Drosophila melanogaster: one gene and its partner. The protein of the gene in region 2 interacts with the protein of the main gene of each other region in a biochemical or structural test. Each region holds a gene or a part of one and is shown on either strand. Other genes may lie near its edges. The genes, in order: Lrrk and EndoA.

Evidence for each region.
Region 1: of the proteins of EndoA (region 2) and Lrrk, one has a biochemical effect on the other in vitro, tested with the Drosophila melanogaster proteins (one study listed by BioGRID).

Annotation. Positions count from the first base shown.
Region 1 is NT_033777.3:20,633,623-20,638,780, reverse strand, and holds the start of Lrrk (Leucine-rich repeat kinase), read right to left. Parts: upstream 3,302-5,158; 5' UTR 3,144-3,301; coding exon 3,125-3,143; intron 2,966-3,124; coding exon 2,693-2,965; intron 2,683-2,692; exon of another isoform or gene 2,594-2,682; coding exon of another isoform or gene 2,506-2,593; intron 2,441-2,505; coding exon 2,281-2,440; intron 2,219-2,280; coding exon 959-2,218; intron 903-958; coding exon 1-902.
Region 2 is NT_033777.3:18,904,658-18,911,285, reverse strand, and holds EndoA (endophilin A), read right to left. Parts: upstream 4,678-6,628; 5' UTR 4,266-4,677; exon of another isoform or gene 4,087-4,265; 5' UTR 4,020-4,086; coding exon 2,910-4,019; 3' UTR 2,836-2,909; exon of another isoform or gene 2,781-2,835; 3' UTR 531-2,780; downstream 1-530. Other genes in the region: Sgsh (N-sulfoglucosamine sulfohydrolase), read left to right, coding at 1-26; CG14292 (uncharacterized protein), read left to right, coding at 5,680-5,733, 5,809-6,261. UniProt on the Drosophila melanogaster protein: Required presynaptically at the neuromuscular junction. Implicated in synaptic vesicle endocytosis.

The DNA of each region.
Region 1 (5,158 bases), 1.7 Mb from region 2:
TTGATAGTTGGATGCGCGTAAGCAGATTGTCAGCCAAGATCAATGTGCGTAGAGCCTCCAGGCGCAGATGACGCCTGTGCCGACAAACACTTTTTAACACCGAAGCGCGAAACGATGTGGCAGACGAGCTACTGCCCTTTGAGGAGGCCGTCTTGTAGTCGTCATCTCGACCCTCTGGTAGCTGGACACAACTGTAGCACAGTAGATGCGGATCCGATTCAGTAATTCGCGGTAAACTTGGCCAGCAGGATATCTCGTTGTGACTTAGATCCAACTGCTTAAGTGTTGCCGGGTAACTGGTTACATGTCCCATAGAACGCAGACTGTTGTATGACATATTCAGCCGTGTTAGGTTTACAGCCAGACAGGGCAAAGCAGCGGGGATACTGGTGAAGAGGTTATTTGCTATATTTAAGCTACTTAGCTGGGAGGAGCCCACACCAGCTGTCTTTCCATCGCCTAAATCTTGTTCATGCTGCCACTTCATGTCATTATCGGTTATGTCCAAAGTAGCCGACCATAGATTGCGATGGGTGAGACGTTGCTGAGTCACATTTCGCGGTTTGTTTGATGGCGGCTCCTCAAAAGATTGCAGATTCAATTTGTCTAGGCTCAGCAGCGAACTGCTAGTTTGCATTGGCGGCACAGGAAGATCCCGCAATAGGTTGAAGGCCACATTAAGTTCGCGCAACTTGGGTGCACGCCACAGGTCGAAGGGAAGCTGTTGCAGTTTGTTATTTGAAACATCCAATATAGATAGGGCGGGCAGGTGAAAGATGGCGGCTGGCAGCGTAGTTAACTGGTTGTCTTGTAGAAAGAGTTCATCCAGTACCGGACACCCATATGTCTGGCCTATTGGTGCAGGTAGATCGGTTATCTTGTTTTGCGCCACATTTAAATACCTTAAATGAAGGACTAATATAATTCTTGAAAAACTTATTACTTTGTCTTTACTAACCTTAGGCTAACCAAATGGAAAAGCTCCTGTGGAATTGACGTGAGAACGTTGTGCGAGAAATCTATTCGCGTGATAGCTGTCAGAGCAACCTCATTAAGTCGCGGATGCGACTGTAGCTTAGGATTCAGCAGCAACACACCGCTGACCATCCAGGGAACCCTTACAACAGACAACTGGACACTGGAGCCCATGCTGTGCCAGTCAATAATGGTTGGATTGTTGGGGAACATAGCACTGTAAGATATGTTGCTGGTGGACGGCAAAAACACGTTCACCTCCACTGGTGTGGGAAGACCCTTCTTGTTGATCTTGTAGTCTGAGTCCGGATGGACTCGTCGGGCCAAAAGACGACTCAGGATGGCCTCGTCGCCGCATGTAATAGCCATTCCAATGGCCGTGCCATTATCGTCGCGGGCTCCATGCTTAAGCAAGAGATCCAACATAGCCAGCGACCTTTGCTTGCAGGCCTCTGCAATGGGGACATTACTGAGCCCATATATTTCCTCGCAACATTTCGGGTCGTTGTGATCCTCAACTGGCTTGGCTACAATATTCGGATTTGCGCCGTGCTGTAGCAGAGACTGCACCACGTCTAGGTGGCCGCCTCGAACGGCCGCAAGCAGAGCTGTTTCTCTCGCCGCTCCACATAGCAGATTCACGTTAATGGGACACCGTTGGCACTCGGTTGACTCTTGTGAAGCTAGGTCGTCGGGTCCTTCTGACTCTCCAGATATGTGCAGTTTGGACATGATAGCCTGAATGCCAAATGAAATACGTTTCCTGGTGGGCGTAATAGGAGTGCTCACCGAGCTGGCGGAATCGCCCAACGTACGCCGGCAATGGAGCTGCCACTTTAGAAGCACACCAACCAGCTGCTTGTTTCCTAGGATGCTGGCAATATACAGACTCGTCTGACCCGTCACATCATGAGCGTTAGCGTCGAAGGGGAGCCGCCATTCCCACTGGCCCTCCTCGTCGCGATATGTCTGGTAGAGGTAGTCGGGATAACTGTAGCTGATAAGGAGTTCCAGCAGCTTGATGTGTCCATTGATGCAGGCGGCGTGCAGCGGCAGCCAGCGCTCTACAGTCGGCTGCTGGATCAGTTCTGGAAAATGGTCTAGCATCAGTCGGGCAATGCCCAAGTGACCGCTATGGACGGCGGCGTACAAGGGTGAGTACTTGGTCACGGCATGGGAGCGACCATCCGCTCCAGCATCCAGCAATCGCTGTGTAATGCTCTCGTAACCAGACTGGCAGGCTCTAAAACGAGACCGATATTAGTTTGGCTCAAAATGGACTAATTCTAAAAGACTTTTTCTCACAGGAATAGAAGGGTGTTTGCTCCTGAAGGAGCCATATTGACTATAATCTGACGCTCAGTTCCAAGAGCTGCCAGCAGCACCCGCACAGTCCGCTCATCGCCAGAGATCACTGCCGTTCGCAGCTCCCCGTGCTTGATCTGACGCACTTCCTCGCGGGCATCTGTGAAAGATAAGTTTTGCTTGGTTAACTAATACACAGCACCTTTGGAATAAACCAATTCCCACCCCGTATTGAGGATGCCTCAATGACCTCATCCACGAAGTAGTCACAGGCTTCCAGAGCTGTTTCAGTTCCAGTTTTGGGATGTTCCATGCTGAATTTCCATGACATTATGTAACCCAAATCGGTGCGAATAAGCCCCAAAAATTAATTGGCATCGGTATGATGACCGAACGCGCCGCTAGCAAAAACTGAACTGCGGAAAATCGATGGCCACGTTTTTGTGGTCATTGATCCAGGCCGTTTTATGTCGCACTGCGCAAGTCGGAGCCCAAGAAGCGCGGCAACTGTTGCACTTGTTCAAGAATGTGGCATTGGGTGAGTGCGTGGCATTTGTTTTGATTTGTCTCTTCGTGGGTGTCGGATGGTCCAGTGGTTGCACCAGTTGCTTCTGTGGGGGGTGGCTGTTTGAAAAAAGTTTTTGCGCGCCCACTTCCATTGCACCAATGTCACCCTGTGCCCTTGCTGGTGTTGTTGAAAAACCAATAACAACTGGTTGAAGTTTTAATTGCACCACTTAGGTAATTTGCATAGTCAAGCGTATAATGCTCATTTGCACTCTGACTAAATTTGCGCAAAACTAGCATATTGTGCATAATTTCACTAAAAGTTGTGTTATCTCACCTTCGTCGGAGTCGCTCATTGTTTTGGTTTGTGTACTTCACGAGATATCCAAGTCATGCATGGTATGTGTTAAATGGGTAGTTGTTATGGTCCGATTAACCAGTAGCACCTTTTACTGACCCTTACTTAATTATTTTGCACATTTTGCGAAATTTTCACTTTGTTTACCTTTTTGTCAACAAACAGTGTAACCTCTTACTGTTTTAGAATATATCTCCTCATTTTGGCACGATATGCTGTTAAGCGCTCTGTGTGACCGAAATATCGCAAGTGAATGCTGTTAATCAGTGTCGCACGCAGGGGGCTTCGTACTTTTCTCCAAAGATTAAAGCCAGCTTAATAACTAAATCATAATCTACCCAAAATCATTGATTTTTATGTCCATTGGCTTAAATTTATAAATTAAAATTAATTTAACAAGGCCGAACAAGTATTTGGAAGACGCATTTATTATTTTTATTCATACACATCTAAAAATTTGTTCCCAAGTGAAATATTTGAAATCCCAACTGATGCTGAAATATCTCATTTCTGATAGCATACATATATAAATACCAAAACGCGATAAGGTGGTCATCGTTTCTGTTACTTTGCACTGCTTGTCAACTCAACAACAGTAATATCGATATTATTTAAATCAGTTAAGCAGTGAATCACTATCGACTGTTACTTTTTGTTGAATTTTATTTTGTATGCTATGATTTTATCTAAAAGAATTTGATTCTTAGGAACTGTTAATTATTTTTATTTATTTTTTTTTTAACATGCAATTTCCTGTTATGACTGTTTACGAACAAGAATTTATTAGCACCGTGTATTTGTGTATATTTTATAAATACTGATGCCAACTGTAACCTATATCGATATAACAATCGAATGAAACACTATCGATATTAACCAGCGCCAGCCTAGAACGCCCTGTGTTCAACAGGAGTCACCCTGTGTTCGTTAACAGACGCTTAACAGCACGATCTCAACAATACAAATAAAAACAATTTAATATTCCTTAATCGAACACAAATTTGAGCCGATTGCACGGTGCGTTTGAAAAATAACAATACCGCGGAATGGCCGACAGAGGCCAACTGAAGGTGCCGGTGCAGAGAATCAAGTAAGGAGCAGCGTAAACTGCGCAGCTCACACCCAAAAAAAAATCGCTATAAAGGCGAGGGCTGGCCAAAATGGAAGCAAAAAACAAAAACAAACGAGCTGCGCCACAATGCAAGTGAAACTTCGATGAAAACTTGCCAATCCGTGTGCTTTTCAAGACTTTTCTGACTGTCTGCAATTTCCATTTTTGTGGCATCGCGACTTAGAGATGAGACATCGGTGCCGCGTAACTTTTTTATACCCTTTCCGCGGTATCAACTCCACCCGTTCGGTCACGGAATTTGAACATTTGGCTCTGAAATATGCCTTAATGGCTTAGATTTTCATTATGGAAACTTTTCTTTCAACGGCCATATCGAATTCGTTATAAATCCTGCTTACTTCAGTCATTCAACTGCCTAAAATTGCAAAAAAAAACACGTAAGGGCATTCATAGGTCGCCTTGGCTGACCCTGAATTCTTGTTTTTGTTTTCAAGTTGACCCCTCCCACCCCCAGCCAACAACTTATGACTGTGTGATTCATACTAAATAAAAGTCAGCGTTTTTGTTTTAATTAACAAGAACCGACGATTTTAGAGGCTGCTTTTCTATTTTATCCCATGTGGTAAAGGGCGGTTAGAACCAACTCAGTTTTACAGTGCATCAATGGATGTTATCCAGATCTCTGATCATCTCGAGGGCAAAGCCAAGGGAAGGGGTCGCCTTCTTATCAACGGGTGGGCGGTTGATTTTTAGTAATTTCCGTAATTCGACACCAAAACAATTATCGGTACATATATCGCCATATGTTTTCTTTCAAGTAACCCGGCGCCACCTTCTTATTTATTCGCAGAGAGATTGGCGTGCTGATTTAAATGGAAAACTTTGAAAACAACAATCTGTTGATAAGGTAACCAGCGAAATGCGGGACAACTAGCCTCCGT
Region 2 (6,628 bases):
ATGAGGAGTATGTGGTCTTCTCGTAGGTCTGACTAAGAGTATTCAATAGATTGGGTGTGTTGTCTTATCGCATGTCCAATGGTTGATAACTCAACCATGCCAATGTTTTTCACTTCACATGCCGTTACAGTTGCGGTCATACAAATAGGAATTGCAAAAGGTAGAAATGATAATATTATATTAATGTATATTCTTATTAAAATAATAAAAAAAAAGTAACATACAATACTTTCAATAATAAACTTTGTTTAACTTTGAAGCGAGCTGCTAATCTTTAAGCATGGCTAATAAAAAGATCAATGTTTTCAAAAGCAATGGTAATCATAAGAATTAAGCATTTGTTTAGAGTATGTACATATGTATGTTCTTTGAACAAATTTCCAAGTTTACATTAAGGGAAAACTTTAATTGCTTTTTACAAACAAACAGATAAAAATATATTGCCTTGATTTTCACCTGCGCAATGCCAAAAAAATAGCCAACAGAATTGGCAAAGAAAGAAGACTGAAGATTCCCCCACTGACTGAATTGGTTGCATCAGCCCAGACTGGCAAACACTCGTGTCCTGGCAGCATGACCTCACCCACTTTTTGGACTGGAGGCGTGGGCATCAGGGGTTGGATGCTGCGTCACGTTTCAATGTCATGCCCACTGGGTCAGTGGGATAGGGGAGGGGAGGGTGTGCTGGCGGCTGCCTGTGTCTGTGTGTGGAAAATCGAAAATTTCAATGCTTCTGTTGTAGTTTATTGGTGGCGCCTCCGGATTCCCACATCGCCCACCACCACCCATTCCCAGCAGCATTCGAGTCTCTGTGTTACACAACAGGCAGCACGTTTTATGGTTTTAAGGTCAGATGGGAAATATCAAAGAGTAAACGACGTTTGCTTGTTTTTTTTTTTGTTGTTTCTCAGTTATGACTTTGAACGAAAGACACATTAAAAATTAAATTTTATTAATTTTGGTTTGCATAAATTAGGGTCTTCAGTTTTAGCATAGTTATTATTATTATGTATATGCCTTGTAATATATATTATTCAAGTTACCGCCCACACAAAAATGCAAAATTACAATAATTATTGTTTGAAGTTCGGGCCCCGCTGCACGTGGGGCAAGTGTGTATCGCGTGGAAAGATAGTCTCCAGGCGATGGGTGGATCCTCCCCAGATGGGGTATCCTCTGGAAATGTTCGCACTGGCAGTCTGTCCGTCCACGAGGCAAATGTTTCATCTTCGCACTCGAATATATAATTCTGTTAAATGTTTTCTTGGCATTTAACAAATTTATTATCAACACAAGTTGCATGGCTTTCAATTCAATGGTTTTCTTCATACGTAAATATATATGTATCTTGTGTATATCATTCCTAAACGTACGAGTATATATATGTATATACATTCGTATGTATATCGTGCATAGCTGTATGCCAACATGAGACTATTTTGAATCATTTTATCGGTTTGCCGTCGAATGTTTATTATTATCTCGTTAAATATATAAATATTTGATCTAGAGTTGCGGTTGGTAAACGCGTTAGTAGGTTCGTAAGTGTTGCTATGCTTCGATTGACTTGACTGGATTTTGCTTACGTTTAAAGTTATTATTATCAACATTTTTGTGGAAATCGTTTAACTAGTATTATGCTTGTTGGTTGGTATTGTTTAGGAGGATTCTGTTACATTTACTTGCCGCTAGTACTTTTTATCTGTTATCATCGTTTAAATATTCATTATATTGTTTACGTTGCTGCTCAGTATAATTTATAATAAATACATAATAATAAATATACATGTAGATAATACGCTTAATAAATATATTTATACATATATTTGATTTCATTTAATATATATATATATAGTTGTTATGTATATAATTAACAAACAAAAAAAACAACACACATAAAAAGGAGCAAAAAGTAGGATACAAATTTCGCTTGTTTCATCCTCGAAAAATTGAATTGAATTATTCTTTACATTGAACAACGAACATCAAGAACGGTATTCCGTATGCCTTTTAGAATAGAGTGTGGGGAGTATTGTTTTTGCACAAATATACGTAGGTAGAGTAGGTATATGTAGGTATTTTCGGGTATATAATAAATATGTATATGCATGTGGGCGGGCGTATGGTGTGGATACGTAGCTTTAGCCTATAAAGGGACATTTGCATAGAGAGCGCATTGGCGTAGGTTGGTTTAAATTACAACGATGAGACCGGATAAAAAGACCTCCGAAAACTGGAGGCTAGAAGAACTCAGGTGGAAAGACAAAAGAGACGCGCCTCCATGGGCGTGATTAAGATTACACGGGTAATTTAGTTAATTAGCTAGAGTGTTTTTCTGTTTGCTTCTGCCGCCGGACCAACTGTTCTAATACGTGATCGATCTATTGTGTGAAGTAGTACTAAATGTTCGCAACTTGCAACGAACAACAAAGCTGACGTTTGAGAATCAAAGGTAAAAACGCAAGGAAGTGGCATTGCGCGCGTAACGTCTTGTAAATTTAGTTAGTTAATACGTACATTAATTTAACTCGTAGTTAATTTGTTAATTATTGTGTTGCCAACTGGTATAATTTTGCACATAAAATTTAGTTAGCTTGCTCTATGGCCACCATGAATTTAGCCTGCTGTGTGCTGCTAGCTAAGCCGTATCGTAATATCCGTAATCGTAGTAACCCGCTCATCTAATTCAACTATATATATATATTTGCATTTATGTGCTGCTGCTGCTGCTTCTGCTGCTCCTGCTTCTGCATCGGCTTGGGCTGCCCAATTTCGCGCCTCTGGTGGCGAAACCAACAATTAAGGTTATTGTTCTCCAATCAGCGATCTACGTACGTCTTCAGCCAGTTTGATAGGATGGGATTGGTTTAGGGATCGGGATTAATACGAGGAACAGGATGAGGAATAGCCTAGTTGCCATTGGGCAGGGGCACCTGCACCTGAACATACGACTGCGGGAAGTAACCGGTGCGGCCATTCACCGCGCCCTCGAACCAATTGTCGTCGACGCGATTCAACAGGGTGATAATGTCGTTCTCCTTGAAGGCCAGTTCGCCGGGATTCTCCGGCTCGAAGTCGTAGAGGGCCTGGCAGCAGGGCTGCTGCTGGCGCTGCGGCGTTACGGCCATCGACTTGGCGGGCGAACGCATCGGCGAGGGCAACGGCGAGGCGCTCGAACTAATGTGAGACGGCGTGCCATCTTCGTTGAGGCCGCCGCCACCGCCGTCCAAGTTCAGATCGAGCAGCGTCTTGGGCACGAACTCGTTGCGTGGCCGGCTCTCCGCCTCGGAGCGCTTCTCCTGCAGTGTCTCCTGCAGGCCTCGAAGGACATCCGCGCATTGCGAATGAAAATCGTATAGTGCCTCGGCAAAGGTGACCAGCTGGGAGACATGCTCCGTATCGTTCTCGAGCAAATTGAACATGCCCACCTGGGCCAGCTGGAGCGATTCACCGAACTTGTCCTCGGCACCACGAATCTCATCGTCCTTGGCCTGTCGGCGACGCTTGCAGTCAAAGTCTAGCCGCCGGCCCTGCAGCTTCTTGCGATGATGCATTACCTCCTTGAGGTCTTTGGTCTGCATATGATGCAGTGGCTCCAAAAAGTTCTGCTTGATGTTGTCGTCCAGCGAATACTTGACGTCGGCCATCTGTTTCAGCGCTTCGCCGAATTCGACGAGCGCCTGCGCGAACACGCTGTTGTCCTCGCCGAGCTTCTTCCCATAAGTCAGCATGCATTCCGCGAGCAGGCCCTCCGGTTGCGGATACGTATTGGACTTGGCCTGTCCGGACAGCTTCGAGATGCCCTTGACCGCTGCCATTTTGGCCCGTGCCGTTGGATTCGGCTGCAGGAACTCCTTCGTCTTTAGCTGCAGCTCCTCCACTAGCTCCACGGTGACGTCCGTCTTGCGTTCCATCTCCATGAAGTCCATGTCCAGTTTGGTGCCCTCGGCACCGCCCATCTTCTCCGTCATATACTGGTTGGCCTTGTTGATCTGCTTTTTGAGTCCGGCGAAAGCCATGGCTGCTGCTGTCTCTTCTGGTTTTCTTCCTCTGATTAAATTGGTCTTGGGGCGCTCGACGCAGTTGCTGTGAACGGGTTGGTTGGGTTAGTCGAGACTCGATTTCAAATTCAATGTCAATATCATCAAGTCAACAATTTCATCAATGGACTGGATGGCTGCCTCACTGACTGCCCGACTGCCTGGCTGGCTGGCTGGCTGGCTGAGTGTGTCTATTTTTAAAACGTTTACGTTTGGAAGACTTACGCGTACTGCACTTTTCTCCGTTCCTTCTCCGCTGGGGGTGCTACTTTCCGGGGCTCTTCTGCTCGCTCAGTGGAGGCTGCGAGTCGGGAAACTCGAATTGGCTTGGTGAACTGTAGCCCGAGTTCGAGTTCTACTTTTGCTGACCACTACTGCGGGCACTTTCACTCGCTTCGCTTGCTCTGCACGTTCTGCCCCGTTTTTTTTTTTGTTGCTCTGCTCGTAATCTTCGATTTTTTCCAGAACCTTGGGCTGCGTAATGTTTGAAGGACCGTGAGTCGTTACTACTACTACTGGTCGCGCACAGGGGGCGGGGGCTGTGGGGTCGCGTTTTCCTCTCGGCTCGCAAAAATCAATATCTTGACTGTGTACAACAATTTTCAACGGCACTAAGCCACTGGAGCTGCGGGACTATCGATAATTCTGTTAAAAAACATTCAGTGTGACCGGTGGTTCGTAAAATACCAAAATCATTCGCATACAACAACGGACATACACGGGATACGCTCATCTCTAGGCATATGTTAAAGATGTGAGGTACAACTTAACATTTTCATTTAATTTCTTTGCAGGGGGGTATTAGATAGTTATATATATATATCAAAACAATATTAAAAATTAAAGTAATATATATATTTTATATTAAGAAGCCAGAAGCACATAAACAGTTAACATAATATCTTACATTTAATATCTAATACTTATAATGTTAATGCATTATAAATTTGAATTTGAAATCTATGTTGATTGGCAGAATTATTAGACTAGAATAAATATGGTCGGTCCCACTGTCGGTCTCTGTATTTGCTCTGTCCTTGTACATGCTGTTAATCGAATAGCTGTTAGATTAGAATAACAGTTTGGCGCGTAAAATTCTAACATTACAATACATAAATATATTATATTGATAGAAAACGTACTCAGCAAAAATAAAGCTGTATAACTGCTGATGAATGTTACGCTAAGATAAAAATGGAATGACTCAGAATGGATAAGAAAATATCATGTTTATCCTGTTTACCAAAATAACTGTGCGCAAAATAACCAGTAGCACAGCAGTCAATTTTATCTTTCTAGAAGGTGGCAAATATATCCCAGGCAAAAATTAAACCCCATTTGCATCGTAAAAACCAGTGACGTTCACAGCATGAAGTAGCAATTTTACCACCTTTTTTTTTTTTATATATTCTGGCTCTATCTGAACAGATAACCCCCGAGAGGTACTTAGCACCACCGAACAAACAATGAACATGTAAATCAGTTCAATCGCAGTAGTAATAGTTGAGATATCAGAGATAAGATCTCCCTGCCGTGTTTTTAATGGCGTATAAAAGCCGCAAGCCGTTGTGCTTTTGGCAATTAGTCTAGACGAAACCCAACGACTGAGAACCAAGTGAACTCAGATAAATTAAAAGAAATGAAATTCGCAATTGTTCTACTGGCGGCCAGCATTGCCTGCATCAGTGCACAGGTGAGGAGTTGTGGATATGGGCCCCCCCATTAAGTGGATTATTATGTAACCGAATTATCATAATTTACTCGTAAGGGCCCTGGAGCTACTGTTGGAAATCCCCTTGCCGGAAATCCCTTTGCCGCCGCCAATCCGTATGCGGCTGCCTTTAATCCCTTCCTAAATGGAATTTTCGGAGGTGCTGGCACAGGAGCTGCCGCCGGTGTAGCCGCTCCCGTGGCACCGTCTGCTCCCTTTGGAGGCGCCTCGATTTCCTCATTCTTCCAGTCGATAGTCCTGCAACGCGAAGCCGAGCGTCTGCTCTCCCAGCCTGACTTTCCCGCCGACCTGGCGGAGCGCGTCCTGGATGTGGTGGCCACCTCGGAGGAGTCGATCAGTGGCTGCAACAACGCCACTTTGCCCTGGCTGCAGATACGCTGTGTCAAGCCTCTGCTGACCACGGCCAAGAACCAGCTGAAGGCCATCGATGACGAGTGGCAGGCCCGTTTGGCCGCCACCGCCAGTCCCACAGGAGCAGCTGCTGCCTAGGATTCTAGTCCTGTCCTCCGGCTGCCTTAGTGTCCAATACTTCCTAGCTTAGCAATCGACCAACATAGATGCAATAAAATTTAAATAAGCCTAATGCCGGAATTTCCTATGCTGGTTTAAGGGGTGCAAAGGTGTGTGTGTGTGTGTGTGTGGTAAGGGGGGGAGGGGGGGGGAGGCCAAAGGACTCCTGACCTAGGACATGCTTTGATGTGGCCGGCCGAGCTTTGCATTCCGCTGCTTTATTAAATTTCCCATCGGGAATTACAAATTTTGGCGTTTGCCTTCTTGACGCTTTTCGGGGCGCAAATACTTGGCTGCTCACGTCACCGTCACGAAAATCCTGGTTCGACCTCGACTAAAAGGATGC